Linked DNA regions of Macaca mulatta. The protein of the gene in region 3 interacts with the protein of the main gene of each other region in a biochemical or structural test. Links are inferred from orthologs where the notes say so. Each region holds a gene or a part of one and is shown on either strand. Other genes may lie near its edges.

Region 1 (4,091 bases), on a different chromosome or scaffold from region 3:
GAGACCATCCTGGCTAACACGGTGAAACCTCGTCTCTATTAAGAAACACAAAAAACTAGCCGGGCGAGGTGGCGGGCGCCTGTAGTCCCAGCTACTCGGGAGGCTGAGGCGGGAGAATGGTGTGAACCCGGGAGGCGGAGCTTGCAGTGAGCTGAGATCCGGCCACTGCACTCCAGCCTGGGTGACAGAGCGAGACTCCGTCTCAAAAAAAAAAAAAAAAAAATAAGGGCATATACTGGATAAAACTAATTAAAATAGATGAGTATGGAAAAAAAGTGATGAGAACCATCGGAAAGTACCTCCCCAGGGACCCATTAGGAAATACCTCCTTCTGCGAGTAGTCCCTCGTGTACGGTTCCTAAGAACATTCAAAGGGCAGGACAGAAATAATAATAAACAATCCTCTCTATAAAATGACTAGATTACAGGCTGATAGAGTTTTAATTGAGAGGACTTTGCAAGTGACTGAGAAATCAGCCTAGAATTCAAGAGAGTAACTCAGAATTGTAGGCCGAAGCTAGGATTTCTGTTTGAGAAAACCTTCCTAAGAGCTCACTACTGTTACTTTGATTACATCTGCCTACTGCTGCAGGATATCAACAGTCGTTTCAAGAATTCATGAAATATTTTTTGTTAAATCAGTTTCAATATTAATAAAGAAGCAGCATTACTTATCCAAAATCTGGCATAACAAACTACAGGGGAAAGAACACTTAGAATATGATTTTTTAGCAATGCATTTGAGTATTGCACATTTTAATAACTAAGGAATAAATGGAAATGGTAAAACAAGGAAGGTTATTAAAAATACAATTTATAATCACTTAAACTATATAAAATAATGAGTGCAATGTGACTGGAACCAGTGCTAATACATTATAGCCAAACTTCATAAAATAAAGCATTTTTAAAACAATAGACCCACAATATTAAATATTTACTGGAAGTTGAAGGCAATTTTTTTTTGAGTCCTGGATAACTGAAGCTGATTTTTAGAGTAGATTTGTTTTCATAAGTATAATTTTTTAAAATGAAGAAATTGCACAACAACGTGAATGTACTTAACATGACTGAACTGTGTACACTTCGAAATGGTTAAGATAATAAACGTTGTTATATGCTTTTTACCTCAATTAAAAATAAAAATTTAAAAGAGACGCAAATGGGGAAAAAGCAGAAGAAAAAGTGAAGGAGTCAAGAGGGCTTACAAGTGAAACAGGCCAAAGACAGAGTGCACGGAAGCAGGAAAGGTGCTGGACGAAGTAGGAGGAGAGGTCACAGAAAGCAACGGTGGCAAACAGGGACACAGAGTTGAGACTCAGGGAGGGAGAGACAGAGGGAGTAGAGAGACAGAGGAAACTAGGAAGAAAGAGGGAAGAATAGAGAGAAGGGAAAGCAGAAAGAAAAAAGATGGGATGTTAGAGAGGTGCAAAATGATAGAGAACTGGGGTGAAGCCAAAAGAGGATGGAGAAGGAGAGGCGATAACAGCCAGGAGGGTAAAACAAGTAGAGAAAAAGAAAACAAAGAGGGAGGAAGAGGGAGAAGAAAGGAAAGAACTATTGAGGGGAACAATAGTGAAAAGTTGGAAACTAGAAAGAGAGGAAAGAATGAGGTGGAGAAGCTGAGAGAAGTTAGAAGTTCTGTAAAGAAAGCATGGTGAAAGAAAGGGGGTTAGAGAGGTAGGGGACTATACAGACAGAAACAAAAATAAACAAGGAGAAGCTGAGAGAGAACAAAAATAGGAGACGAGAAGAGAGTTAAGGATCTTAAAGGCACACTTATTCCTGATCACATTCTAATAATGTCTATGTTGTAGAATTCCCCTTTCAACAGTGTTTCCTTATACCCTACACAGTTTAACTTATCTCATCTTTATTATCATTATTTCAAATGTTTTCTAATTTCTTTTGTGCAATTTGTTTGGCTTGTGGGTTATTTAAATGTGGTTTTCAGCTGGGTACGGCGGCTGACACCTGTAATCCCAGCATTTTGGGAGGCAGAGGCAGGTAGATCGCTTGATCCCAGTTCGAGACCAGCCTGCAAAACATGGTGAAACTCTGCCTTTACAAAAAATGCAAAAATTAGCTGGGCATGTTGACGCACATCTGTAGTCCCAGCCACCAGGGAGGCTGAGGTGGGAGGATCACTTGAGCCCATGGTTGGGGCTGTGGTGAGCCTTCATTGTACCATGGCACTCCAGCCTGGGTGACAGAGTGAGACTCTGTCTCAAAAACAACAACAACAACAAAAATACATGGTTTGATTTCTGAGACAGTGAGAATTAAAAAAAAATTGATTTGTAGTCTAATTCCACTGCATTTTGAAAAATACAAGGTAAACTTCTGAGAAAAAAATTTCACACATTTTAACTTATATTAAATCAGTGGTCCAAATCTCTTTTGGGTAGAAAAGGTCCTTTTCATTTCCACAAACTCTTAACTCTTAAGTTCCATATAGGTCAAAAAGAGACTATGGAACTACTTCAGTCAGTGGTGTAGACAGCAGCATTCAAACTTTGTATACCTATTCCAAGAAAGAAATACATTTTATACTGCAACCTCAATGCACCTTTTGAAACAGACATTTTACAAAGTATACATGTAAGTCACTGATATTTTCTATTCTATTACACCAATTAAATGCTTTTTAATTAAACCCACTAAATTGTTTCCACAGCCCACTAACGGGTGGCATCACATTGTATACAGGGAAGTGGCTGGGCAGAAGCAAGGATCACCGAGCTCCTGAGCAGCAAGCCTGTGAAAGTGGCATCCAGCCTCCCCCCCTCTTCCCTGGTAGTGCTGAGCAGCCATGGAGGGGGAACACACAGTGGCGCCTGTCCTGGAAAGCTCTCAGAGGAGTCTTTGGAATGATTCCAGATAGTCTTCTCTATACTTAGGAACCTGGATTGAAATTATATCTGCATCACTGTGTATTCCCAGAAGTTTCTATTTTCATGTTTACTGTGACTTGCTAAATACTGAATGAGAACAATGAAATGTGAAGCAAGTGCTTCTACCTGTCAAATTATTGAAGGCCCCCCGACTTCATTGTAATAATGGAAACTCGGCCATCACTCACACTTGGCTTTACAAAGCTATCACAGGCCTTCGCTGACCAGAAGCTATCACAGGCCTTTGATGACCAGGGCCTTGTCCCCTCCTCACACTCCTCCTGTCAATAGCCAGACCCCTCATGGATTGTTTGGGGGAAGGGAGGACTGAAGACTTTCAGCAATACATGATCTCCTCTGAAAGACGAGGATTGTGAACCTACAGGAAAAGACTCTTCCTTGTTATGCTGAACATAGGGAATTAATGGCTCTCAGTTATGTTTCAGATGAGAAGCACACCTAATTATGAGTACATTGATTTAACTAAATGCACACTACTTAATTAGCATTTTTTAAAATGGGTGACCCAGCAGCATGGAATACAATGTTCCCTTAATATCCAGCCCCCTTTCCTTCTCCACTTAATGAGCCTACGTTTCTTTCAAGACTATTATTGTTCTATAATAAAAACAGCCATGTTCTGTCTTCCCCAGGAAAAACTTCCTGTATGACCAAGAATGAGTTAGGCATGTTCTGAGTAATGATCAAATCAGGGCAATTAGCATATCCATCACCCCAAACTTTTATCATTTCTTTGTGTTGGGAACATTTGAAACCTTTCTTCTAGCTTTCTCTGAAAATAAGCTATTAACTATCCTAATCCAATGCTAAAGAACACTAGAACTTATTCCTCCTATCCAGTTGTAATTTTGTATTTGTTAACTAGCCTCTCTCCATATCCCCCCTCCCTTAAGTCCATTTAAATATCCATAAATTCTTTAATTGATTTAGAACATGCCTTTTACCCCTAACCACGAGGGGGCTTATATTCGCTTATACATCTCACGACCAAGAGCACAAGGACAAGACAACATCTGTACTGTTACAAAATGAAGCTGAGAGTAATAAGTGTAGGGATGAGAATCTAATGAATATGTGTAAAACCAGTGCTTGGCTCATAGTGTCAGCTTTCATTATTGTTATTATAACATGCTGCTTTCCAGGATGAGGTGCTTTTCTGTGGATATTTTTGATTGT
Region 2 (3,939 bases), on a different chromosome or scaffold from region 3:
CTAATGCCTAGTTAGGAACATTTGATAAGCAGCAATAATATTTAATTCCCAACTAACTCAACTCTCAAACTGCCAAGTATCAACCCTCAATCTGGAAATCTGACGACAGTTAGGAAAGAAAAAAAGCACTCTCCATCAGCAATGTGTAGTGAGTTTTTTAAAACCCATTTTTCTCGACCCTGCTAGAACAGAGCCTGTCTGCAGAATTGCAGAAAGCTTAACCAACCTTAGTTAACCCCACTGCCTAGTGGCTACTCCCTAACCCTACTAAACGTCTCTGGGTTGGACCTCAGATGCTAAAATTATCCTAGCAAAGTTAAAACTCCCAGCATCATCAAGGTAGCTGACAGCCAAGACCTACAACTATTCTGCAGACACCAGTAGGCTGAGGACCAAGAAAACAGAGGGAAGGAGAGGCAAAGGCTGCTGGTTAACTAGTTAAGCGCTGAGGACTCCTGCTGTTATCCTCTCCAGTTAGTGAGCATCAACACCACACTTCCTATAGCCAAACTCCTTTCTTAAAAGGGTCAGTGATGCAGAAGGTGGGTGCTAACTGGGACAACTTAAAACTCCCCTTCTTAAAGCTCTCCTCCGTGACCTGCTGAAAAGTGCACCTGGACCGGTTTTCGGGAGACATTTTTTAATGAACTCTTCAGCCACTCCCGGGCAGTCATTCCTAAGCACGACTTCCACGCACTTCACAAGACAGCCCAGGCCACGCTGACTTGAAGACACCCCCTTCAGCACCGGCAGTTGCCAAAGCTGCCTCCAGTCTGGGGAAGAGTTTCCACAAAGCTGGCTCTAACAGGCCAGTGGAAGGCACACGGAGGAACCAGAAAGCGTTTTCTTGTAAGCTAAGGATGGCAGGCGCACATGCTCCAGTCCAGTGCTGCCCAGAGGCTGCCTGCCAGGTGCTCTCGGCCTCCGCCAGTGAATGAGTGGTTTGGTTTGGTTTTTAGTATCTGTTTCTTAAGACCACCGGCAGTAACTTCCCAGTTTCCCAAACTGAAGTTGGGGAATGAAGGAACAGGTTTACCCCCTTACACGCTGCTCCCATCTGGGTGGCCACACTAACTTCTGGGGAGTACCCAGCCCCCACAGAGCCCGCAGGCGCGTATACATACACATATGCATCATGTCAAAAACCCCAAAAGGCAGAGTCCTGCGGTTTCTGAGCTGGAGAATGAAGCCTTTATAACATCACAATCTCAAATGCAAGCCCACCATCACTACCTTTAAGCCAGGGTTGCCAGTTATAGCGCCCATCTCATCCCTCCCCCTTTGCTGGGATGCTGTGCAGCCCAGAGAGAGGAGAGGGAAGAAGGGAAGAAGGGAGAAGGCCCTGCTTGCATAGTGAAAGTAAAGGGGGGGAGACTTCTCCTTCTCTGTCTCCCCACTCTTCCCTCCCCACTCCGCCCCACCCCCGTCTTCTAGAGGAGCATCCCCAAACTAATTTTTTAAAAATGAAACTTAATAAGCTTCTTGCCTACCTTGGCTGTTTCTGCAACAAGTGCATGGGCAATCCGACGAGAAGACCAGTCTCCGCTTGGGGGGTGAGATGGGGGGCGAGCAGAGCTGATGGAGTAATTTCAATATTAATTTATGTCAGCCGCCTTCTCTCAGCGCTACTCACTTACAGTACTGCCCTCAGCCTGTAAACAAATATCGCTCCGCCAGGAAACATACTCCCCAGATGCAAGCCCCTCTCCCCAGCAGGGAACCTGGCCCCTCGCCCCGCCGCAAGAGTGTGCTCCCCCACCCGGGGTAGGAAGCTTTGGGTTTCCAAAGCACCAACCCACCACCTCCTCCACCACCCCAGCAAGAAACTTACTCGGTCCGTCTACGCCTCCACCCTCCCTTCAGGAAATCTACTCTCCATATGCATTCAGCCTCCCCGCAGGAAATCTGCTCCCCCCCTCCCCCCTTCTATATACATGCACCCCTCCCTCTCCTCCTCCCCATGCGCCCTCCCCGGCCAGAAACTTACTAGTGAGCAAGCGTGCAGGCTCTCCTGATGCTGGAAACTTACTCCCAGATATAGCGCCCGCCAGCCCCCTTTCCCAGCCCTGTTCCCCTTCCTGCCCTCCGCCGCAAGCAACTCCAAACTCTCCGCATCCAGCCGTTCTCCCTCCCCGGTGGAAATTTGCAGCGCCGGGCTGCGCGCGTGCATCCACCCTCCCCTTCAGGAAACTTACTCCCCATCTGCATGCACCGCCTCTCAGCCATCGCTTAGAGGGAAGGGGGTGTGCTGGGGAGACAGAAATACATATGTATCTCTCGCCCCTCCCCCGGCCGCAGCCCACTCGGGGCCGAGCCGCGGTAACCTGGCCTTACCTTTGCATTGCTCCCCATCCTCGCCCCCTCCCTTAACCCTCCTTATCCGCTCCCCGGTACCCCCCTTTTTTCACCCATTACCCACCCCTAGCAACCGTTCCCAAGCTCCTCTCGGCCTTTTTTTTTTTTTTTTTAAATCCAGGATGCAAATTCCTCCCCTGTCAGCAAATCGACTGTCAAATTATTTTCTTGCAAAAGGAGAAAGGCGGGGTGGGGGGGGGAGCAGGAGCAAAAAGGGGGGAGGGCGGGGGAAGGGAGGGAGAGGGACCGAGGAGGGGAGAGATATCCCTCCGCAGAGCTGGGTCTGGCCGCGGGCGGGGAAGCAGGAAGTAAGGTGTCCAGCGCCGCGGCCGGCTGGTCCTCCGCCGCGGCCCCCGCCCGCGTCCCCTTTCCCCCGGGGCGCAGCGCTCCGGCGGGCGCGGGCAGCCCGGCGCATTGTTCGCAGCCTTCGCGGCGGTGCGCTGCTGACTTTATTTGTGCGCTTTGCGTGTGCGTGAGGTTGCACCTTTTGTAGGCTGGCGAGTCTCTGGACGAGGATGGGACGGGGGACACGGGCCCAGTTGCGGCCCTGCGCGAGCGGGACCTGTCAGCCCCGAGGTGCAGCGGACTCTCCGGCGTGGCCGGAAAATCGAGGCCGGGGAGAAGGCAGCGTGGCCGGGAAGCTGCCGCCTTAAACCCAGACCAGTGCAGGATTGCTTCCTGCGTAGCCGTCCCGGTTATTGTAACGCGCTTTGCAAGCAAACGACTGGGGTTTGGGAGGGGGTTTGTTTATTTTTCTAAGGGTCTGCAAAGATGCCGAGGTCGAGGCGGGCTGCGAGGAGACGGTCCGCGCCCACCCCCACTGCACCCTGGCCTCGGTGGGGCTGGGAGAGGGCTGGGGCTCCGGAGAAGGGGCTGGAGGTTCGCGAAGCGCGCGTCTCCATCCCTCCGCCCCGATGGGGGCGGGGAAGGGGTGCAGTAGACCGCGCTGGAAGAGCAGCTCTCTGGGGAGGGGTCTCCATCGCCGCGGCGGGCGCAGCAGGCCAGGGAGGGAGGTTGCCTAGGAGAGGGGCCGGGCGGCGGAGGGGAGGGGAGGAGAGGGGGCGCGGGTGCAGCCGCCGCGCGCGCTCGCCCCTCCTCGCGCGCCATGACTGTGGAACGTGGTGCCGGGGAGGAGGGAAGGCCGCCGGGGGCCGCCCGGGGCTGCTCGGCATTGGTGCGGAAACCCGAGCCCGGAGTCGCTCCGTCGCTCTTGCCTCCTCCTCCTCTGCGGGGGAAACCGCTGCACCCAAACCGGGAGCAGCTGCGAGGAGGGGGCAGGGCGCGGGCTGAAAGGCGAGCCAAAGGTTCAAACCTTGGCGGTGCGGGCCGGGGGTGGAGGGCAACAGCAGGACTGCCCCCAGGTCCCGCGAAGGCGTGGCAGTGGTCGGCCCAGGTGCCAGGGAACCTGGCCTGATATCCCTGCATTTCCAAGCTTCTTTCCTGGTCAGTGGAAACGTGAGCCAAAGGTAGTTCAGCTAAACAGACCACCTCGAGCCGGGTTCGAGGCATCTGTCTCGAGGGCAAGACAGTATTTTTTGCACTACAGAAAGTTACACCATCCATTTTTTTTTTCCATGGGGGAAA
Region 3 (3,500 bases):
TCGTGGCTAACACAGTGAAACCCCATCTCTACTACAACTACAAAAAAAATTAGCCGGGCGTGGTGGTGGGCACCTGTAGTCCCAGCTATTTGGGAGGCTGAGGCAGGAGAATGGCATGAACCTGGGAGGCAGAGCTTGCAGTGAGCCGAGATCGCATCACTGCACTCCAGCCTGGGTGACAGTGCGAGACTCCGTCTCAAAAAAAAAAAAAATTACTGTTTTAACCATTTTAAATATACAATTTAGAGTCATTACATACACTCTATTGTTGTGCTGCCATCACCACCATCCAACTCTAGAACTTTTTCATCTTCCCAAAATGAAACTCCGTACCCAGTAAGCACTTGCTCCCCATTCCCTGGCAGCCACCATTCTGCTTTCTGTCCCTGTAAATTTGACTCCTCTGGGTACCTCACATAAGTGGAATCATTCAATATTTGTCTTTTTGTGACCAGCTCATTTCACTTGGCATGATGTCTTCAGGGTTCATCCATGTTGTAGCATGTATCAGAATGTCCTTCCTTTTTAAGGCTGAATAATATTCCATTATTTTTGCATAGAATGCTTTGTTTAGGCCAGGCGCGGTGGCTCACGCCTGTAATCCTAGCACTTTGGGAGGCCGAGCCAAGTGGATCACAAGGCCAGGAGTTCAAGACAAGCCTGGCCAACATAGTGAAACCCTGTCTCTACTAAAAATACAAAAATTAACCAGGCGTAGTGGTGGGCACCTCTAATCCCAGCTACTTGGGAGGCTGAGACAGGGAAATCACTTGAACCTGGGAGGCGGAGGTTGCAGTGAGCTGAGACCATGTCGTTGCACTCCAGCCTGGGGAACAGAGCAAGACTCCATCTCGAAAACAAACAAACAAAACTTTGTTTATGCATTCATCTGCCAAGGACATTTGGGTTATTTCCACTTTTTGACAGAAATTACTATTTTTAAAACCATTAAATTCAGTGGAGGAATGTGGTTCTAACAGTAGTAAACAACTCTTAAAAGAGGAAGATTATTTATAATTATTTGTCATATTCAAGTGTTTCAAATGAAGTATTTAAATGGGGTTGTCTTTACAGGGACAATTATACCCTACAGATAAATCCAAACTCTGGATTGTGTAATGAAGATCACCTATCTTACTTCAAGTTTATTGGTCGGGTAGCTGGAATGGCAGTGTATCATGGCAAACTGTTGGATGGTTAGTATTAAGTATAAACTTTTACAATGTAATTACCTGTTGTCTTTCACTTGGTAATCATCCTAAATGTATTTGGTTTTTTGCAAGGTTTTTTCATCCGCCCATTTTACAAGATGATGCTTCACAAACCAATAACCCTTCATGATATGGAATCTGTGGTATGTCTTTTTCACTTATAGTTTAGACAAAGTATAATTTAATAAGTAACTTGAACATTTTGAGGAATTTGCTTTTAATGACATGGAAATTAATATATTATGTTTCAAAATACAAATTAACTTTTTCCTCAACATTTTATTATGAAAATTTTCTAACGTTTAATAAAGATGGAAGTATTTTACCCCGCACACTTGTATATCCACTACTCACAATTGGTTTTTTCTAGATTTACTGTATCACATACTTGTCTGTCTATCCATCAGCCTATCTTAGTTTCTTCATGCATTTCAGAGTAAGTTATAGATAACAGTAAACATCCCACTAAATACTTCAATAGGTTGTACAAGTTATGTGTCTTTGGAATCAGTATTTGCATTACGATCTTTTATGATGAATATTGCATGTGTGTGTGTGTGTGTGTATATATATATATATATATATATATATTTTTTTTTTTTTTTTTTTTTTTTTTTTTGAGACAGAGTCTCGTTGTGTTGCCAAGCTGGAGTGCAGTGGCGTGATCTCGGCTCACTGCAACCTCCGCTTCCCAGGTTCAAGCAATTCTCTGCCTCAGCCTCCCGAGTAGCTGGGACTATGGGTGCGCGTCACCTCGCCCAGCTAATTTTTGTATTTTTAGTAGAGATGGGGTTTCGTGTTCGCCAGGATGGTCTCCATCTTTTGACCCCATGATCCACCCGCCTTGGCCTCCCAAAGTGCTGGGATTACAGGCCTGAGCCACTGCGCCCGACCATATGGTGTATATTTTTTAAATGGCAGTCGAAAGGCAAAGCATTATGGTTAGGCTCCTAGAAAAAAACAGAAGCCCAAGGATTAAACCCCTGACTGTAGCCATGTTGTTTCCTGTGCTGCTGAATAGCCTCACACGATGTGTGTACACATGAATTCTAGGACATCTTCCTTAGTACCAAGTTCATTTTTTATTTTCTTATTACATATTAACAGCACAAACAGTGTGCTTCTTTATAAATCGTAAGATTGCACGGTTATTTGAGTTGGTTCATTGAGCCTCTATATTTATTTAGAGATTTTTCTTTAACTCGGGCTGGGTATAAACAATGGCCTCCTCATAGCTACTTAAACATTTCACACACAGTGCCGGACACAGGGGTGTGCAACTGTAATCCCAGCACTTTGGGAGGCTGAGGCATGTGGAACTTGAGGTCAAGAGTTTGAGACCAGCCTGGCCAACATGGTGATAGCCTGTCTCTACAAAAAATACAAAAATTAGCCGGGTGTCGTGGTGCATGCCTGTAGTCGCGGCTACTCAGGAGGCTGAAGTAGGACAATCACTTGAGCCAAGGAGGTCGAGGCTGCAGTGAGCCACAATCACCCCACTGCATTCCAACCTGAGGGACAGAGCAAGACCCTGTCTCAAAAAAAAAAAAAAATTAAATTAAAAAATAAAAATAAAACATTATAGTCACGTAGGCATATGAGGAATGTGCTAAGTGCTCCTGGATATCCAAAGCCAAAAGTTAGGTTTTATCTGAAAACTTCTGTATTCATTCCTTTAACTGGATGATACAATCTGTACCTCCACTGCTTCCACATAAACATAGATTCTGAACTTTTCAGTAGGCACCACTTGATTGATTGATTGACTGGTGCATTTTTACTCTTGCCCTTACCATCCATCTCTTTTTGTAATACACACACATACACACATACATTTTTGTTTATGTGTGTAAGTAAAGGATGTCCATCTGACCTCTCATCTTTTACCCAACTACTCAGCCCCTCTACATATTGTTTTTTTGCAATTTCAGGTGTGTTATATGTACAAATTTTAAATACGTAATTTTTCCCATCTAGGATAGTGAATATTACAATTCCCTAAGATGGATTCTTGAAAATGACCCAACAGAATTGGACCTCAGGTTTATCATAGATGAAGAACTTTTCGGACAGGTTTGTTAATTTTGATCAGTTAAAATGGCACGTAAATTGTGAAACAAATGTTTCGATGTTAATACGTACACTGAATACATTCCTAGGCTCTGTTTTTACATTTATTTTCCAGTAACAAAAACTGTCTCTCAGCAAGAATTTGTGCTTTCTTTAACATTTGACTCATTCCATATTTATTTTAGTAAAACTAATATTTTAAGTTTTCTTAGCTTTTAA
Region 4 (3,500 bases), on a different chromosome or scaffold from region 3:
AGGGGGCCTCTCATCCTGTCCATGTGTGGCCGTGCTCTGGATAGAGGAGCTGCCACAGTACCCACTGCAGAACCCCACAGACCTGCCCTGGACTCTGCCGCATGGGCCATGCCTCCACACTGTCAGGGCAGGGGCCAAGCAGGAGCAGGCCAGAGCTACCCTCACACTTCCCCACCAGCCAGGCGGCCCCTCACCTGGCCAGATTCTCCGTCACTCTCCGCAAGGCTTCCTGCTTCTTGGCCCGGTTCTTGGCGGCAGCCTCGTTGGCCATCTTCAGCCCCAGTCGCTCCCTGCGGCCCGGCTCCAGGATCTACAAGGTAGCAGGCGTGTGGGTAGCTGTGCCAGGCCTGCCACATGCCAGGCAGCCCCTCACACAGAAAGCCACTGTGGTGGCTGCCAGCCTCTCTTTGTTGCCTACAAAACCCCCACAACCCACCATCATCTCCCACTAAAAGCCCCTGGAAAGCCCCCAACCCCGCCTGACCTGCCCAGGGCCCAGCACTCCTCACCTGTCTTCCTGTTCCTCCCAAAGCCATGACCTCTGACAACCTCTCAGGAACAAGAGGTCTGTTTTAACGTTTCCCTGATTATCGGCGTGAACATCTCTGTCTTATCGGCACTCTGTATTTTGGGCGCTTCCCCACGTGTCTGTGGCCTATTTTACTCTCAAGGGGCTCATTTTCTTTTTCTGCTGCTGTCACTCAGAAGACCCTCGCCAAGACCCTGTGTCAAGTCAACTGCGCTACACCGTGCATATGTGTTTTCAGTTATTTGCCCTTGTTTCACTTATAACATTTTCTGCTGTATTTGTTATTTTCATTTGTGATTTCTTCCTTTGCTTTTGTTTAGAGAGTCCTCCCTAACTTAAGATTAGACTACAGGCTGGGAGTGGTGGCTCATACCTGGAACCCCAGCACTTTGGGAGGCCAAGGCAGGAGGATCACTTGAGCTCAGGTGTTGGAGACCAGTCTGAGCAACATGACGAGACCTCTTTTCTACACACACACACATACACAAAATTAGCTGGGTGTGGTGGTGTGTGCTGTTAGTCCCAGCTACTCAGGAGACTGAGGCTGGAGGGTCACTTGAGCCCAGGAGCTCAATGTTACAAGGAGCTACGATTGCACCACTGTTCTCCAGCCTGGACAACACAGTGAAACCCTATCTGTTTAAAATAAATAAATAAATAAAGGCGAGGCATGGTGGCTCACACCTGTAATCCCAGCACTTTGGGAGGCTGAGGTGGGTGGATCACAAGGTCAAGAGTTCGAGACCAGTCTGGCCAACATAGTGAAACCCCATCTCTACTAAAAATACAAAAATAAGCCGGGCATGATGACGCATGCCTGTAGTCCCAGTTACTCGGGAGGCTGAGGCAGGAGAATCACTTGAACCCAGGAGGTGGACGTTGCAGTGAGCCGAGATCGCGCCACCACACTCCAGCCTGGGCAACAGAGCGAGACTCCATCTCAAAAAAAAAAAAAAAAAATCAAACTAGGCCAGGCGCGGTGGCTCAAGCCTGTAATCCCAGCACTTTGGGAGGCTAAGACGGGCGGATCACGAGGTCAGGAGATCGAGACCATCCTGGCTGACACGGTGAAACCCCGTCTCTACTTTAAAAATACAAAAAAACTAGCCGGGCGAGGTGGCGGGCGCCTGTAGTCCCAGCTGCTCGGGAGGCTGAGGCAGGAGAATGGCGTGAACCCGGGAGGCGGAGCTTGCAGTGAGCTGAGATCCGGCCACTGCACTCCAGCCTGGGCGGCAGAGCGAGACTCCGTCTCAAAAAAAAAAAAAAAAAAAAATCAAACTAAATACTCGCCACTATTTTCTTCTAGTTGTTTTATGGTTATTGTTTTTACATGTAACCTTTTCACCTTTCCAGAATGTATGCTGCTACACATCCTAAGGACCCAGCTTCCTTCATTTCTAAATACTCTGCTATTCAGTGCAATTTGAGTTGCCATCTTTATCGAGCCCTAAATTCTGACTCATGATTTCACAATTTCCGTTGGCCTGGAGACTCGGGAAGCAGTGGCAGGCGCACCTTGGAAGCACCTCAGCCCTTGCCTTATGCTCTCACATTTGACAGCATAGCATCCTCTTCATTATCCCTCTCGCATGCCTGCCTTAGTTATCCTTGCATCCCAGACAATTCAGAACCAAAGTAACCAAAACCTCTCCCCATGTTTTGTCTGGACATGGGTTACCTCTACTAAGTACTCTGGGGAAAGCCCCGCAGTGGTACGGGGAGGCCTGTTGCACCTGACCCAGCCCACGAAGAGCCTCCCCTGGTTTGTGCCGGTTCTCACACACTCCACCCTGACCACTCCTACAACACCAGGCTTGAGCCGTGTCATCCAGCGTGCCCCAGTCATGTTCTGTAACCAGGGGCCTTCCTCTGCAAGCACACAGCCGCATCCCGTGGTCCTCAGGCCTGCAGAGCTCCTGACGTGTCTGTGACTATCCTCCCTCACTCGTGAACAGCACCCGGCCTCCAGGATCCACAGGGCCCAAGCCACTCCCTGCCTTGGTGTCTCAGCCCTCACACCCCCAAATCCCTCTGTGACAGGTCCACCCACCCACACCTGCCTTCGGTGCCCTGGCATTCAGAAAAGCCAGCACTCTGCCTGTCAGCAGCTGGGGGCCGATTCCAGTGCTCAGTCCTGAGCCACAGGCACTCAGGGCTCTAGAGGTGTCCACCCCGGTCACACACGGTTCCCCCATCACCACGACCCACCTTGAAAGCTGGGCCCGGTGTCCTGTCCACGTAGGGGGTTTCCGACCCTTCAACTCTCAACGGTGTGTTCTCAACCTCCCCCCAGGTCATCATTGGGGACTCGTTCACACCTGCAAATAAAGAGCCCAAAACCGTCTCAGGCCAGAGGACTCCCCACCACCCTCCCCTCCAGTCACAGCCTGTTCACCCAATGTGCATCCCAGCTAACATGAATACAGGCAGCTAGCCCATTCTCCTTTCCCAGGACTCTGGAACCCTGGCACCTCCATCCTCCAAAAGGGAAATGCCAAGCTCCTAGCAGGCCCGAGGCAGGCTCAAGGCCCTACAGCCATGTGCTTAGCCTACGAGCCTCTGGGAGGTCTCCCCCAGCCATGCGGGAGGAGACACTCAGGCCTTCCAGGGCTCCCAAACCTCCTAGAACCCCGGACAAACCTGTGGTGCCTTCACATGCCCTGACCTGTGACACAGCACCAGCACCCAAAAGCACAGAGGCCAGACTGCAGGAGGGGCACCCATGCATGCCACGGGACCACCTGAGTGTCACCTGCCCCCTGAGGTGCCGAGCCTCCCTCCCTGCAGTGCTAGGTAGACTTAGACTCATAAGCACTGTGCACACACCCCCACCTGCTGACATCACAGCAAGGACCAGGACAGAACACATCACCCCAGGACATCTCGGGTCAGGTCTGCCTGAGAGTCCAGCCCGCCCATGGCCCCAAGCAGCCTGGACACCTGGCCTCTAAGGCCTTGTACAGACAGGAGA
Region 5 (3,500 bases), on a different chromosome or scaffold from region 3:
AAAGAAAGAAAGAAAGAAAGAAAGAAAGAAAGAAAGAGAGAGAGAGAGAGAGAGAGAGAGAGAAAGAAAGAAAGAAGGAAAGAAAGAAAAGGGATGTATGGGAGAGATGGTCTGTTGGGTTCCTCTCAGCTCCAACATGTAAGATTTCTGTGACCCTCTCCCTTGCAGCCAACACCATGTTCCCAGAAAGGGGTCCTGGGGCTTCAAGTGTAGCCTGGGGTCCCTGCTGCGTCAGTGCCCCCCCCCCGAGGGTGTGCATGCCCTGGGCTGCCCCACAGCATAGGCCTGAGCCCTGTGGGTCTAAAGCATCTCTGTCCATCCCTCAGCCTCAGTGTGCTCCTTATTTATTGTCTCTTTCCTCCACAGTGTGTCTCTCTTTCCCCGTCTTTGTCCCCTGTGCTCTGCCTGGACCTCTTGGGGGCTGCGGGCTAAGGGCTTCTCACCATCACTGTGGCTGACTGCTCCAGCTCCGTGAGGATCCAGCCGGCCTGTTCCAGGCCCCGCCCCTCCACCTGGCACCACAGCAGCACATCGTCCCCCACATCCACGGAGGCGTTGGGCACCTGGACCTTCAGCATGGGCACACCTGGCCACCCAGGATGCCCAAGGGCCAAAGGGTGTTAGAGCTGGGAGTGGCCCCAGAATTCTACTGCAGGGCTGCTCCTTCCCCCACCCTCCTCAGTGACCCGGAGCCCAGGCAATGTCACCCCAGGCAGTATCCCCCAGCCTTTGCCAATGCCCATTCCCCAGGCCTTTTCAGTGCTTGCTCAGTGCCCTCTCCCTCAGGCAGGTGAGCCTCTTTCCCAGCCCCCTTACACCATCTCCCTCACCCAGCACCTACCACAGCTGGCATTGGGCATATGGGCCAGGGGCCCTTGCCCGTGACACTGCAGCTTCTGTTCATGCACTCCGCCCAGTCCCTCCTCCTCCCAGCGCTGTAGCCAGCGCAGGGCACAGGAACAGTGCAGAGGGTTCCCCGACAGGACCCTGGTGGGCATGGGGGACACCAAGTGAGTCAAGGAAGGGGCCTGAGGGATCACAGGGATAAGAGAGAGCAGTTAGGCCGCGAGGAGGACGGTCTACAGGTGAAAGGGAGGACACAGAGGTCTTTCCGTCTGACTCCAGTAACAGGATGTTATTCAAAGAAATAGGCCGTTGGGAGGCCAAGGCAGGTGGATCATGAGGTCAGGAGATCAACACCATCCTGGCTAACACGGTGAAATCCCGTCTCTACTAAAAATACAAAAAATTAGCCAGGACCACGTGGTGGCGGGCACCTGTAGTCCCAGCTACTCGGGAGGCTGAGGCAGGAGAATGGTGTGAACCCAGGAGGCGGAGCTTGCAGTGAGCTGAGATTGCACCACTGCACTTCAGCCTGGATGACAAAGCAAGACTCTGTCTCAAAAAAAGAAAGGAAAGAAAGAAAGAGAGGGAGGGAGGCGGGGGAGAGAGAGAGAGAGGGAGGGAGGGGGAGAGAGAGAGAGAGGGAGGGAGGGAGGGGGAGAGGGAGGGAGGGAGGGGGAGAGAGAGGGAGGGAGGGAGGGGGAGAGAGAGAGAGGGAGGGAGGGAGGGAGGGGGAGAGAGAGGGAGGGAGGGAGGGGGAGAGAGAGAGAGAGAAAGAAAGAAAGAAAGAAAGAAAGAAAGAAAGAAAGAAAGAAAGAAAGAGAAAGAAAGAAAGAAAGAAAGAGAAAAAAGGAAAGAAAGAAAAAGAAAGAAAGAAAGAAAGAGAGAGAGAGAGAGAAAAGAAATAGGCCAGGCGCAGTGAGTCACACCTGTTATCCTGGCACTTTGGGAGTCTGAGGCGAAAGATTGCTTGAGCCCAGGAGTTCAAGATCAGCCTGGGCAACATGGCAAAACCCCAACTCCACAAAAAGAAAAAATAATGTAAAAATGAAAGAAATTGAATGCAGAAAGTGGAAGACAAGACAGCTGATGGCTGAGGGATGCATGGGGCTCCCTCACCCCAGGCTCCCCCGATGAGAAACCAGGCAAGGGCTCTCAGCATGGTGACAAGGAGGGAAAGGCACAGCCTCCCAGAGTGACCCAGAGGCCTTAAGTGCCCACCAGGTACACATGAACCCCTGCGCCCCACTCACCCCTGTGCAAGGTGCCCTGGGAATGTTGCCAGATGTGCCGTGGACACACAGTGGGCCTGGGATCTGCTCAGCCAGGCCCAGCACACACACAGTCATCCAGGCCAGCTCCCCAGGGCAGTAGCCCCCTTAACGGGTGGTCCTGCAGCCCCTGCTTTGATGGGGGTGTCACTGGCATGCACATAGTCCCCAAAGAGACCCCCCCAGCAGTGCCACACAGACACAGTGACCCAATGCCATCCCACAGACCCAAGTGCACGCAGGCACACACACACTTGGTGCTCTTGTCCCTGGAAGTGCCCCCACTCACAGTTCCTGTAAGGAGAGGCCCTGCACAGTTTTCCAGGAGAGAGACTCCAGAGCATTGAAGGAGAGATTCCTACGGGCGTGGAGACACAGCAAGACAGACCCCTTGAGTGACCCGACCTCACTCTGACCCAGAGTGAGGGAGGGGAGGAGCCGAGAAAGAAGTTGACATCTGGCTCCCCCTCTCCAGTCTAGGCAGCCAGAACAAGCCTTGGAAGGCAGTGTGTGTGGATGGATGGGGGGGCGTGGTAGAGGGCTTTTTGAGTCCCACTCCTTTCCCTGGGACAACAAGGGTTAACCCTACTTAGCCCCCTCTCCAGACCCCAGGGAGGGGGATCTGAGGGAACAGCCGCTCCTCCCTCCCCCACTGCTTTGGCCCCAGCTGGCAAAGTGCTGAGGCCACAGCTGGGGGAAGGGCTCCATCTGTGCTCCCCTCCCCACAGAGCCCAGGACGGGGCCAGAGGAAGAGGGGGAGGATTGAGGTTGCCACACTCCCTTGACCCTACCTGACCACAAGGAACTCAACGCACTTCCTCAGTTCCCCTCCACCTCCTCCTTTCAGGCCCTCCTCAGTGACTAAAAGGTCAGGCAGGAAAGGACCCACACCCCCAGCCCCCTCGTTGTAGGGGTGGAAAAAGTGAGCCCAGCGGGGGCCTGGCCACACCGGAAAATGATGTAGGAGCCCCAGTGCCCTGTGCCCTTTGTCAGGCTGCTGCTGCTGGGACCCTCTGCCTCTGAGGGGCCTATCCTGACCCCTCTCTTTTCCTAGTCAACCTAGAATTTGTGGTGGCTGGGTTGGAGAGGTACCACCACATAGGGACCAAAGACACAACCCACTCTAGAGCCAGATAGAGCGGGTGTAAGTTCTATCCTGCCACTTACAGCTGTGTGACCTCAGTCCAGAAACTCAACCTCTCTGATTCTCAGAATTCTTATCTATGAAATGGGGACAAGAACACTCTCTCTCTCACCAGGTTGATTGTGAAGATTCATTGACATAAGTACCGTGAAGTGTCATTGAACACGTTTTTAACGGAAGCCCCGGTGCATAGATGGTGATACGACATCACTTTATTTTGCCTTGTTAAATTGCTGGACACA
Region 6 (3,500 bases), on a different chromosome or scaffold from region 3:
ATTACCAGTCATTTAAAAAAATCACTATTGCTGCGCACAGTGGCTCATGCCTGTAATCCCAGCACTTTGGGAGGCCAAGATGGGCAGATCACGACATCAGGAGATCGAGACCATCCTGGCTAACACAGTGAAACCCCATCTCTACTAAAAATACAAAAAATAAGCCAGGCGTGGTGGCAGGTGCCTATAGTCCCAGCTACTTGGGAGGCTGAGGCAGGAGAATGGTGTGAACCCAGGAGGCACAGCTTGCAGTGAGCCAAGGCACGCCACTGCACTCCAGCCTGGGTGACAGAGCGAGACTCTGTCTCAAAAAATAAAAAAAAAAATCACTACTGAAATCAGTGTATATTAATTTGTTCTAGGAAAGGAAATGTGATGTTGTGATCCCCGTAGTTGCGAATGCCATGGCTGACCAACATGTGCTTGATGGATTGGAATAAGAGAGTTGAGGATGATCACAGTTATGCCTTAGCTGCCTCACCAGGAATGTGAGCTGTGAATCCTTGTGTTCACCCACATACACATGAGTTAAAAGCTGTAATAATGCAGCAATGAATGGCAATCGTGTGTGTGTATGTAATATACTAAAACAACTTCTTTTAGTTATTGCATTTCATTAGAATAAAGTCCTCAAATTCTCAAAATACCAGTCAGCAGTAGCTTCAAACATTCCTGATAGTTTCTCCTGTATGTTAGCCTTGGAATTACACACAGGACACACAATTTACACTACACTGATCCTAATAAGTGAATCCATGTGCAGCATTTCCCTTTAACAGTTATGTTTCAAGCAATATGTCAGGATAGTAATATGAATATTTTAGGGCTAGTAAGATATATAATTTGCAGGACCCTGTACCAACTGCTTTAGATCCATTACCTCATTTAATACTAATGATAATCCTATGGGATAAGTCTTTTTATCATATTTTACAGATGTGAAAGCTGAGGATTGGAGAGGCTGCCTACTGTGTCCATTATTGCAAAGCTAATACATGCTAGAGCCAGAGTATGAGTGCCCCTGTGTCTGACTCCACTATACCACGCTGCCCTCAAGCTGAAGTAAGGAACTAAAGATAGCAAAAAAAAAGAATTTTCTCCAATAAATTAGTACCTGACCATTGGCTTTCTCTAACATAAAATGAACCAATTTCCCTTCAAAAACTGAATGTGGAAACTCGTCTACCGAATATAATTCATGCTCTTGAAAGAAAAATATCATATTCATTTTAATCTAAAGTCCAATGAGACAACATGTAAATGCCAAATGATCTCTATTATGTATTCTCCAGTTTTAGGAAGTCATGTAAATTAAATTTATGTATTTTAGTTATTAAAAGCAGTATACTTAATGAAGAACGAAAGTCCGTCTGCTGGTTAGTAAAGTTTGCATGACTTCTACTAAAACTGTGCAAAACAAATCTCTTTCTACATGCAGGCTGTTGTACACAGATTCCTTGGAAGTCTACTTCTGGGTACTTACATGAGATGGTATGTAGATATCATAAGAGTTTCCTGAATCAACATCAATTACATGGAAACCAGTGTGTGAACCAAAAATAACCTTTAATCTTTGACCTTCTTCTACCGTGAGATCAACTAGCAGAGGCTTGTGCTGGAGATCTGCAAAAGACTTTAAAAATCACCCCATCAGTATCCGCATCACTCAAAGAGGTATCTTAATAATTTTTTTCCTTTAGCCACTGTCTAGAGGAAGTTAACTCCTAACTTTATTAAAGTGAAAAGCTAGAAAATTTCTCTTTCAGTTTTAGGTCTGTTGATATTCTGGCTGTAGGAGGAAGGGTCTAGCATCCATTTTTGCCCCTTTCCCTACCCTTTGTCCTCCAGGTCAATGAAGTTTAAGCTGGTGCACAGGTGTAAATTTTGATAGTGGTAATGTATATTAAAGACCTGGTGCCTGGGTGCTGCTGTTTTTTCCTGTTTATTTCTGGCCTTTGTCCTCGGAAGAAGGCCCAGTTACCTCTCTGGCCCCTCTCTTTCCCATGTGGCAGTGAGGCCCATCCATAGCAATTACCCTTTCAAAGACAGCCTGGGAGGGACAGCCAAGGCCGGCTGTTTTCTCAGCCTGTTCAGTGTTAATGGGCATGCTCTGGTTTGGAATTTCTTCAGCGAATGAGTGGGCATAAGATTGGCACTTTCTCTTAATGTTGGAATCTGAGACTTGGGTTTGGGTGGTAGAGAAAGAGGTGAGAGTGGAACATCACAAGATTGATGGCTTGCATTGACTATTTGGGTTTAACTAGAAAGCAAAAAGAGAGGTCTTGTCAAGTTTGTGAAAGTTCTCTGTGTTTGAATCCAGAGCCCAAGCCCCACCTAACTGTCAAGTGTTCCTCTGCCATTTTCCTTTGCTATTTTTTAACCACACTCTACCTTTGGGCCTTGAGATCTGGGAGAGCATTTGTGAAACTACGATTGCCTTAGCTATAATGCCACTGCTACCTCTCAGACCCTTCTCTTCTCATCTTTTGCTAACACCATTCTGACAGCACAGGAAGCTCAAGCCTCCTGTCCTTGTCCTATGGGAAGGCTTTGCCTCTTGCCAGTTCCACTCTTCCCTGTTCAAGTCTTTGCCTTTGCTTTTCCCTCTCTCTGGGCTGGATCTGGTCTGTCAGAAAGAACATTTTGCACTCTCTCATGTGCTCTGGGTCATAAAATGATGGCAGTAACTTCAGAGCAAGAATGGGAATGGGATGTTGATTGAAAAGCTTTTGTGGAGACAGATTTTGGCAGAACAGGACACTTTGGCTTTTAGGAGTTATCCCTTAATTGTTATTAGTAACCTAGTGCATTCCAATTTTTTTTTTTCCATAAAAGTGAGGTTATGGAGGGGAGCCCATTTCCATTAATGAATCTATTTTCCTGAGCACATCACAAATAAGCCATCTGCACTAGGGAACAAGGTAGAAGTGATTCAGCTCTGAAGTGGGCCTACATAGTGTTCTAAGGTTTTGCCCTCCATGGTGAATGTGGCAGAAAAGAATGAATAAGGAACCAAAGGGAGATAACAGTCATAAAGGTGGGGAGAAAAAGTAACAGCCAATGAGACACAAAGAAGTAGACAGACATAAGCTGAGAGAGACAGGGAGTGTGAGAGAAAGCAGAAGGTAAGTTTACTTGGGCTATGGATAGGTTATGCGGCTCTGAACACATCTGGGTGCCTGTAAGTACTGGTCCTCCTGGTATTCGGGTGTCAGCTTCATGAGCTGGGGTCAACAGGACTAGCATATCCCCATCCCACTCCTGGCAAATCTCATGAGTGACCAATCCAACCATGGTGGGTACAAACTTAGACAAGGTAAAAAATGAAAACACAATCAAAATAGAAGAATGCAGAGAAACTAGGTCATTTCCATAAGTTAGCACTGGGGACATATAAGCATCACCTGCATTTTAGGGACTTCATCCAGAAAAATTTATGAGGATTAAAAGATTTAGAGACTAAGTTTAACTTAGTCTTTACTTTTGAAACAATAAAACCA
Region 7 (3,983 bases), on a different chromosome or scaffold from region 3:
GTAAACTTGCACACTAATTTTAATCTTAACAAGGAATTTCAGTGTCTTAGTGGTTTTAAGTCAAAAGGATGGTTCAAGCATTGTGTCCTTTGTTCTTTAGGGTTACGACAGCTTATTGGAAAACCCAGAGCCTTCTGGATCTGTGAGGTAGTAGACTTCAACCCTCATTCATGCATAGATCACACTTCTCCAAAGTTGGTATGGCCTGTCTCCTTGGCATGTTCCCTTGCTTCTGCTTGTCCAGTTAATCCTTTCTGACATACCATGCATCTCAGGGTGAAGCGGTTGACATCAGTAAACTGTCTCCTTCTTCTAGCTTCATCTGCTAATTCCAGTGCTTGTACAAGAACAATATCATCATTAGAGGAGAAAATGGTCAGAGGAGGTGTATCTGGATCAGGGAAGTTACGCTGAAGTGGATCATAGTGGATGCCATCATAAATAAGCAGAACCCTTTTAGTATATCCTGCATCTTCCCCAAAACGATCAATTCTTACTGTCTGTGTATCCACTACACATATTTCACATTGGTAAAACTTGGACAAAATCGATATCTCTATTGCTCCTCCCCAAGTGTCATCCCTTTTGATCCAGTCACAGTACTCTTGATTTGTTTTTCCCAGTATTGCCTCACTATAGAAGTCCGGATCGCTTGCTACAATTTGTGCTATGAGGCGTCTCATCTCAGGGGCACAAGCTGGATTCAAGACTCCTCCTTCGACGACATAGTACACACTGGTAAAGAGGCAAGAATTGTCTGCTGGGACCACGGTTCTGGTAAGCACAGGCAAAGTTTCCCTGACGTAACTAGAAGCACCACGTTTAGTAAATGCAGGTGAACTTTTGGGCCTGGTTTGGTCTTCTTCAACGATCAGCATGTCACCTGTTAAAAATAAAACAAATCCCGATCTGCAGAGAAATTATAGAAGAAACCGAGTGTTCACTAGCCAAGTCTGTAAATTACAAACTGAAGGAGTTAAAGCATAAACTGGGGTTATTAAAGAGAAGACAGCTTTGCAAATAAGTTACCAGTAACAATCTTTGTTCACTGAATTTTCATAAAGATGAAAAAAGAACAAAGAACAAAGACACTTCAGGTTGCATCCCAATTTAGTGAAGCGGTCTGGAGTAAACAACTTTAAGCTTACCTAAAAAGATACATTTCAAAAACAAAATTTCCTTTCCTTATACAGTATTTTACAGAAGGTGCTCACTACAGAGTAGGCCGCTAGGGGGGTCTCCTTCTCTGGGAACTTATCTACTCTGAGTGTTTACAGCGTCCTTGATACAGCAACTGAAAGCTTTTAATTATAAACACTGATGTTCAAGTTTTGATATGGCACAAAAATAACTGCTACTGGTTAGAAATTGAAAGGGCTTTCAGTGGGTGTTTAAAAGCTGACTCGAAAATGAGTATGCCTGTCAAACGAAGTATCTATGAAGGGGATTGCAAAAATGAACCAAGAAAAAAAAAATCCTGCATCCTTGAGATCTCATCGATGATACAGGGGAAAAGAGACATAAGGACAGAGAAAATAGGCCCTACTTCTTCATATTTTTGTGGACGCCGACGGAAAACAAAATGGGATAGTTTCAAAGCCGAGCAGAAAGCGGATTGGGGAAGGGGGACTTCAAGCCTTTGGGTTCCCTTTCAACCCTGTGTCAAGACAAGGAGTTGCTAGACACTTGCCCCGGCCCCCGTCAGAGTTCTCTGTTCTTTGATCTATCCTCGCCCCTGGCCTCAAAGTCCCCCGCCGACCCACAGCCACCTTGCCTTGACTAGTGTTCTGTTCTCTCTCACGCCCCTCTCCGTCCTCCCGGGACTTTCCCTGGCCCCTGCCCTGATTCCTTACCAGATTGGATGGGCAAGTCTTCCAGAATGGTATCCCCATTGCTGAGATCCAGGCACTCGGGAGGGTATCCGACGAGGATTCGCTGACCGCCGGGGGCGATCCCGGTGATGGCGGCAATTTGGCTCTGGAGTTCCCGCACCCGGGTCCGGCTGGACAGCCCCTGCAAAACATGGGTGCCGTCCTTGGCCTTGCAGCGGAGCCGCCACATCGTGTCGGTCCGGCTGCCCACAGGCCAGACACCCGCGGGACCAGCTTTGGTCCCGGCAGCCGGTTGAGCGATGCCGCCGGGGCAACCAGGCGCCGGGTGGACTCCAAAATGGCGACCTTTAGCGGGGCCAAACATCGCGAGAAGTTGCGGGTTGTTACAGTTCTCGCGACGCTTCGGCGCGGCTTCTGCCTTAAGCGCGAACTCTTTTAAAGTGGCAACTGATTTTTCCCCCACCCTCAGAACGAAGATGTAAACCTCCGTATTCCTAAAGGACAACGGGTCTTGCTACTTGTAGAGCGAGTGAGGTGCCCTCCGCGTCGGTAGCATATATGCTTAAGAAAAGAGGGCGGGGGAAGGAGTTCCTTAATGAAGCTCTGGAGCTTGGAATGTGACCTTGCACTTAGTGAGGTCGGAAATTATTAAATTGGGGCTTCCACGCTACACCCAGACTACATTAGGAGAAACAGAATCATAGTTCACAACGCAAACGAATGCCAGGAATGGTCACTGAGTCAAAGGACCAGTCAAAAACAATTATACTTGTGACTAGACTCGTGGCTGCATTAAACATTGACTCATTGAGGTTCCAGGGGCCAAAGGACTGGCCTTTCTGCCTCCCTGGGACTGCTTGAAAACGTCTATTTGCCACATCAGAAAGCACAGTATGAGGTCAGCATCTGGGCCCAGGGCAGCTGCCTCATTCAGGTGGTGGCAGTGTAAGGAGGAGTCATGTAGTGCGTGTCATCAGATTCCAGTTCAGTTCCTGGGCATGCAAATATGAAGACTTCATTCCTGCCTTCATTGTAACAAGTATTGATTGCAGTTGGGAGACAGGGTGGGGTGTGAGACACACAGCCACTGAATTTCAAAGCAACGTGATAATGCTAGATTATGTGTACCTTTTCAACCGTGTGTGCCTAGAACCCAGGACTGTGAATCGCAAATAAAAAATGTTCAACAAATACTTGCTGAAAGAATAAAGACAGAGTTGTATAGACATAGAGAGGGCAACTAGAGCACTCTGGGAGTTGTAAAAAGTCTCAAAGAGGAGATAACTGTTTGAACTTTTGGAAGAATGAGTTTAATTCCCAGGCGAAGGAGGAATAAAGACATCCCTGAATTTATATGTCTATTTTCCAAGAAATCTATACTCATTGTTCTTTATCCAGCCGGTATCCAGACAGCAAGTCCCACTTGTCTAGAGTGTGTTTATCAAGCATCAAACGGGCCCACTGGGGCAACTATGAAAAGTGTAGTTCACTTGGTCCAAACTCACCTCCACTGTAAAAGACTTTGCTTCTGAATAAATGATATGTAATGTTTCTATCTTTTCACATCTTTCATGACTCAATTTTTTTCTGCTGGTGCAATTTTCCTCCTTGGTTCTTCAAGACACTACAACAGATGATACAGCCTGAGTTGGGAGGTAGGTAGGAGGGAAGGTAGGAGCGGTTAGAAGTCCACTGGGGTGGCCGGGCGCGGTGGCTCACACCTGTAATCCCAGCACTTTGGGAGGCCGAGGCGGGTGAATCACCCGAGGTCAGAAGTTCGAGACCAGCCTCATCAATATGGAGAAATCCTGTCTCTACTAAAAATACAAAATAAGGGGGGCGTAGTGGCGCATGCCTGTAATCCTAGATACTCGGAGGCTGGAGAATCGCTTGAACCCGGGAGGCAAAGGTTGCGGTGAGCCAAGATCGTGCCATTTCTCTCCAGCCTGGGCAACAAGAGCAAAACTCCATCTCAAAAAAAGAAAAAAAAAATTCCACTGGGGTGTATGGGTGGGTCCAGGGAAGCTTCTGGTTCAACGATGAGAGTGGTTGAGTTTCTTAGGTTACAGCGTCTGACCTGTGGAACGGGGTATGTATACACCCTAAGGCATAATTAGCTCAAGTGTTGTGGTAGTTTATTCTAGCAAAAAC

Evidence for each region.
Region 1: the proteins of NEDD4 (region 3) and RAPGEF2 form a complex in vitro, tested with the Homo sapiens proteins (2 studies listed by BioGRID and IntAct). The link is inferred for Macaca mulatta from reciprocal best matches to the Homo sapiens genes NEDD4 and RAPGEF2.
Region 2: the proteins of NEDD4 (region 3) and TRERF1 interact in a test that uses a peptide from one of them, tested with the Homo sapiens proteins (2 studies listed by BioGRID and IntAct, with this or other methods). The link is inferred for Macaca mulatta from reciprocal best matches to the Homo sapiens genes NEDD4 and TRERF1.
Region 4: the proteins of NEDD4 (region 3) and ESS2 interact in a test that uses a peptide from one of them, tested with the Homo sapiens proteins (2 studies listed by BioGRID and IntAct, with this or other methods). The link is inferred for Macaca mulatta from reciprocal best matches to the Homo sapiens genes NEDD4 and ESS2.
Region 5: of the proteins of NEDD4 (region 3) and NTRK1, one has a biochemical effect on the other in vitro, tested with the Homo sapiens proteins (3 studies listed by BioGRID, with this or other methods). The link is inferred for Macaca mulatta from reciprocal best matches to the Homo sapiens genes NEDD4 and NTRK1.
Region 6: the proteins of NEDD4 (region 3) and TNIK form a complex in vitro, tested with the Homo sapiens proteins (2 studies listed by BioGRID). The link is inferred for Macaca mulatta from reciprocal best matches to the Homo sapiens genes NEDD4 and TNIK.
Region 7: the proteins of NEDD4 (region 3) and YOD1 form a complex in vitro, tested with the Homo sapiens proteins (2 studies listed by BioGRID, with this or other methods). The link is inferred for Macaca mulatta from reciprocal best matches to the Homo sapiens genes NEDD4 and YOD1.

Annotation. Positions count from the first base shown.
Region 1 is NC_133410.1:167,416,837-167,420,927, reverse strand, and holds the start of RAPGEF2 (rap guanine nucleotide exchange factor 2), read right to left. Parts: upstream 2,801-4,091; 5' UTR 2,781-2,800; intron 1-2,780. UniProt on the Homo sapiens protein: Functions as a guanine nucleotide exchange factor (GEF), which activates Rap and Ras family of small GTPases by exchanging bound GDP for free GTP in a cAMP-dependent manner.
Region 2 is NC_133409.1:139,692,655-139,696,593, reverse strand, and holds the start of TRERF1 (transcriptional-regulating factor 1), read right to left. Parts: upstream 2,801-3,939; 5' UTR 2,420-2,800; exon of another isoform or gene 1,988-2,419; intron 1,937-1,987; exon of another isoform or gene 1,832-1,936; intron 1,576-1,831; 5' UTR 1,491-1,575; intron 1-1,490.
Region 3 is NC_133412.1:33,147,773-33,151,272, reverse strand, and holds part of NEDD4 (E3 ubiquitin-protein ligase NEDD4), read left to right. Parts: intron 1-1,074; coding exon 1,075-1,196; intron 1,197-1,283; coding exon 1,284-1,354; intron 1,355-3,188; coding exon 3,189-3,284; intron 3,285-3,500. UniProt on the Homo sapiens protein: E3 ubiquitin-protein ligase which accepts ubiquitin from an E2 ubiquitin-conjugating enzyme in the form of a thioester and then directly transfers the ubiquitin to targeted substrates. Specifically ubiquitinates 'Lys-63' in target proteins.
Region 4 is NC_133415.1:33,572,330-33,575,829, reverse strand, and holds part of ESS2 (splicing factor ESS-2 homolog), read right to left. Parts: intron 2,848-3,500; coding exon 2,738-2,847; intron 311-2,737; coding exon 195-310; intron 1-194. UniProt on the Homo sapiens protein: May be involved in pre-mRNA splicing.
Region 5 is NC_133406.1:110,056,634-110,060,133, forward strand, and holds part of NTRK1 (high affinity nerve growth factor receptor), read right to left. Parts: intron 2,473-3,500; coding exon 2,404-2,472; intron 988-2,403; coding exon 842-987; intron 587-841; coding exon 444-586; intron 1-443. UniProt on the Homo sapiens protein: Receptor tyrosine kinase involved in the development and the maturation of the central and peripheral nervous systems through regulation of proliferation, differentiation and survival of sympathetic and nervous neurons.
Region 6 is NC_133407.1:82,744,236-82,747,735, forward strand, and holds part of TNIK (TRAF2 and NCK-interacting protein kinase), read right to left. Parts: intron 1,634-3,500; coding exon 1,484-1,633; intron 1-1,483. UniProt on the Homo sapiens protein: Serine/threonine kinase that acts as an essential activator of the Wnt signaling pathway. Recruited to promoters of Wnt target genes and required to activate their expression. May act by phosphorylating TCF4/TCF7L2.
Region 7 is NC_133406.1:64,800,761-64,804,743, forward strand, and holds the start of YOD1 (ubiquitin thioesterase OTU1), read right to left. Parts: upstream 2,801-3,983; 5' UTR 2,197-2,800; coding exon 1,854-2,196; intron 884-1,853; coding exon 180-883; 3' UTR 1-179. UniProt on the Homo sapiens protein: Hydrolase that can remove conjugated ubiquitin from proteins and participates in endoplasmic reticulum-associated degradation (ERAD) for misfolded lumenal proteins.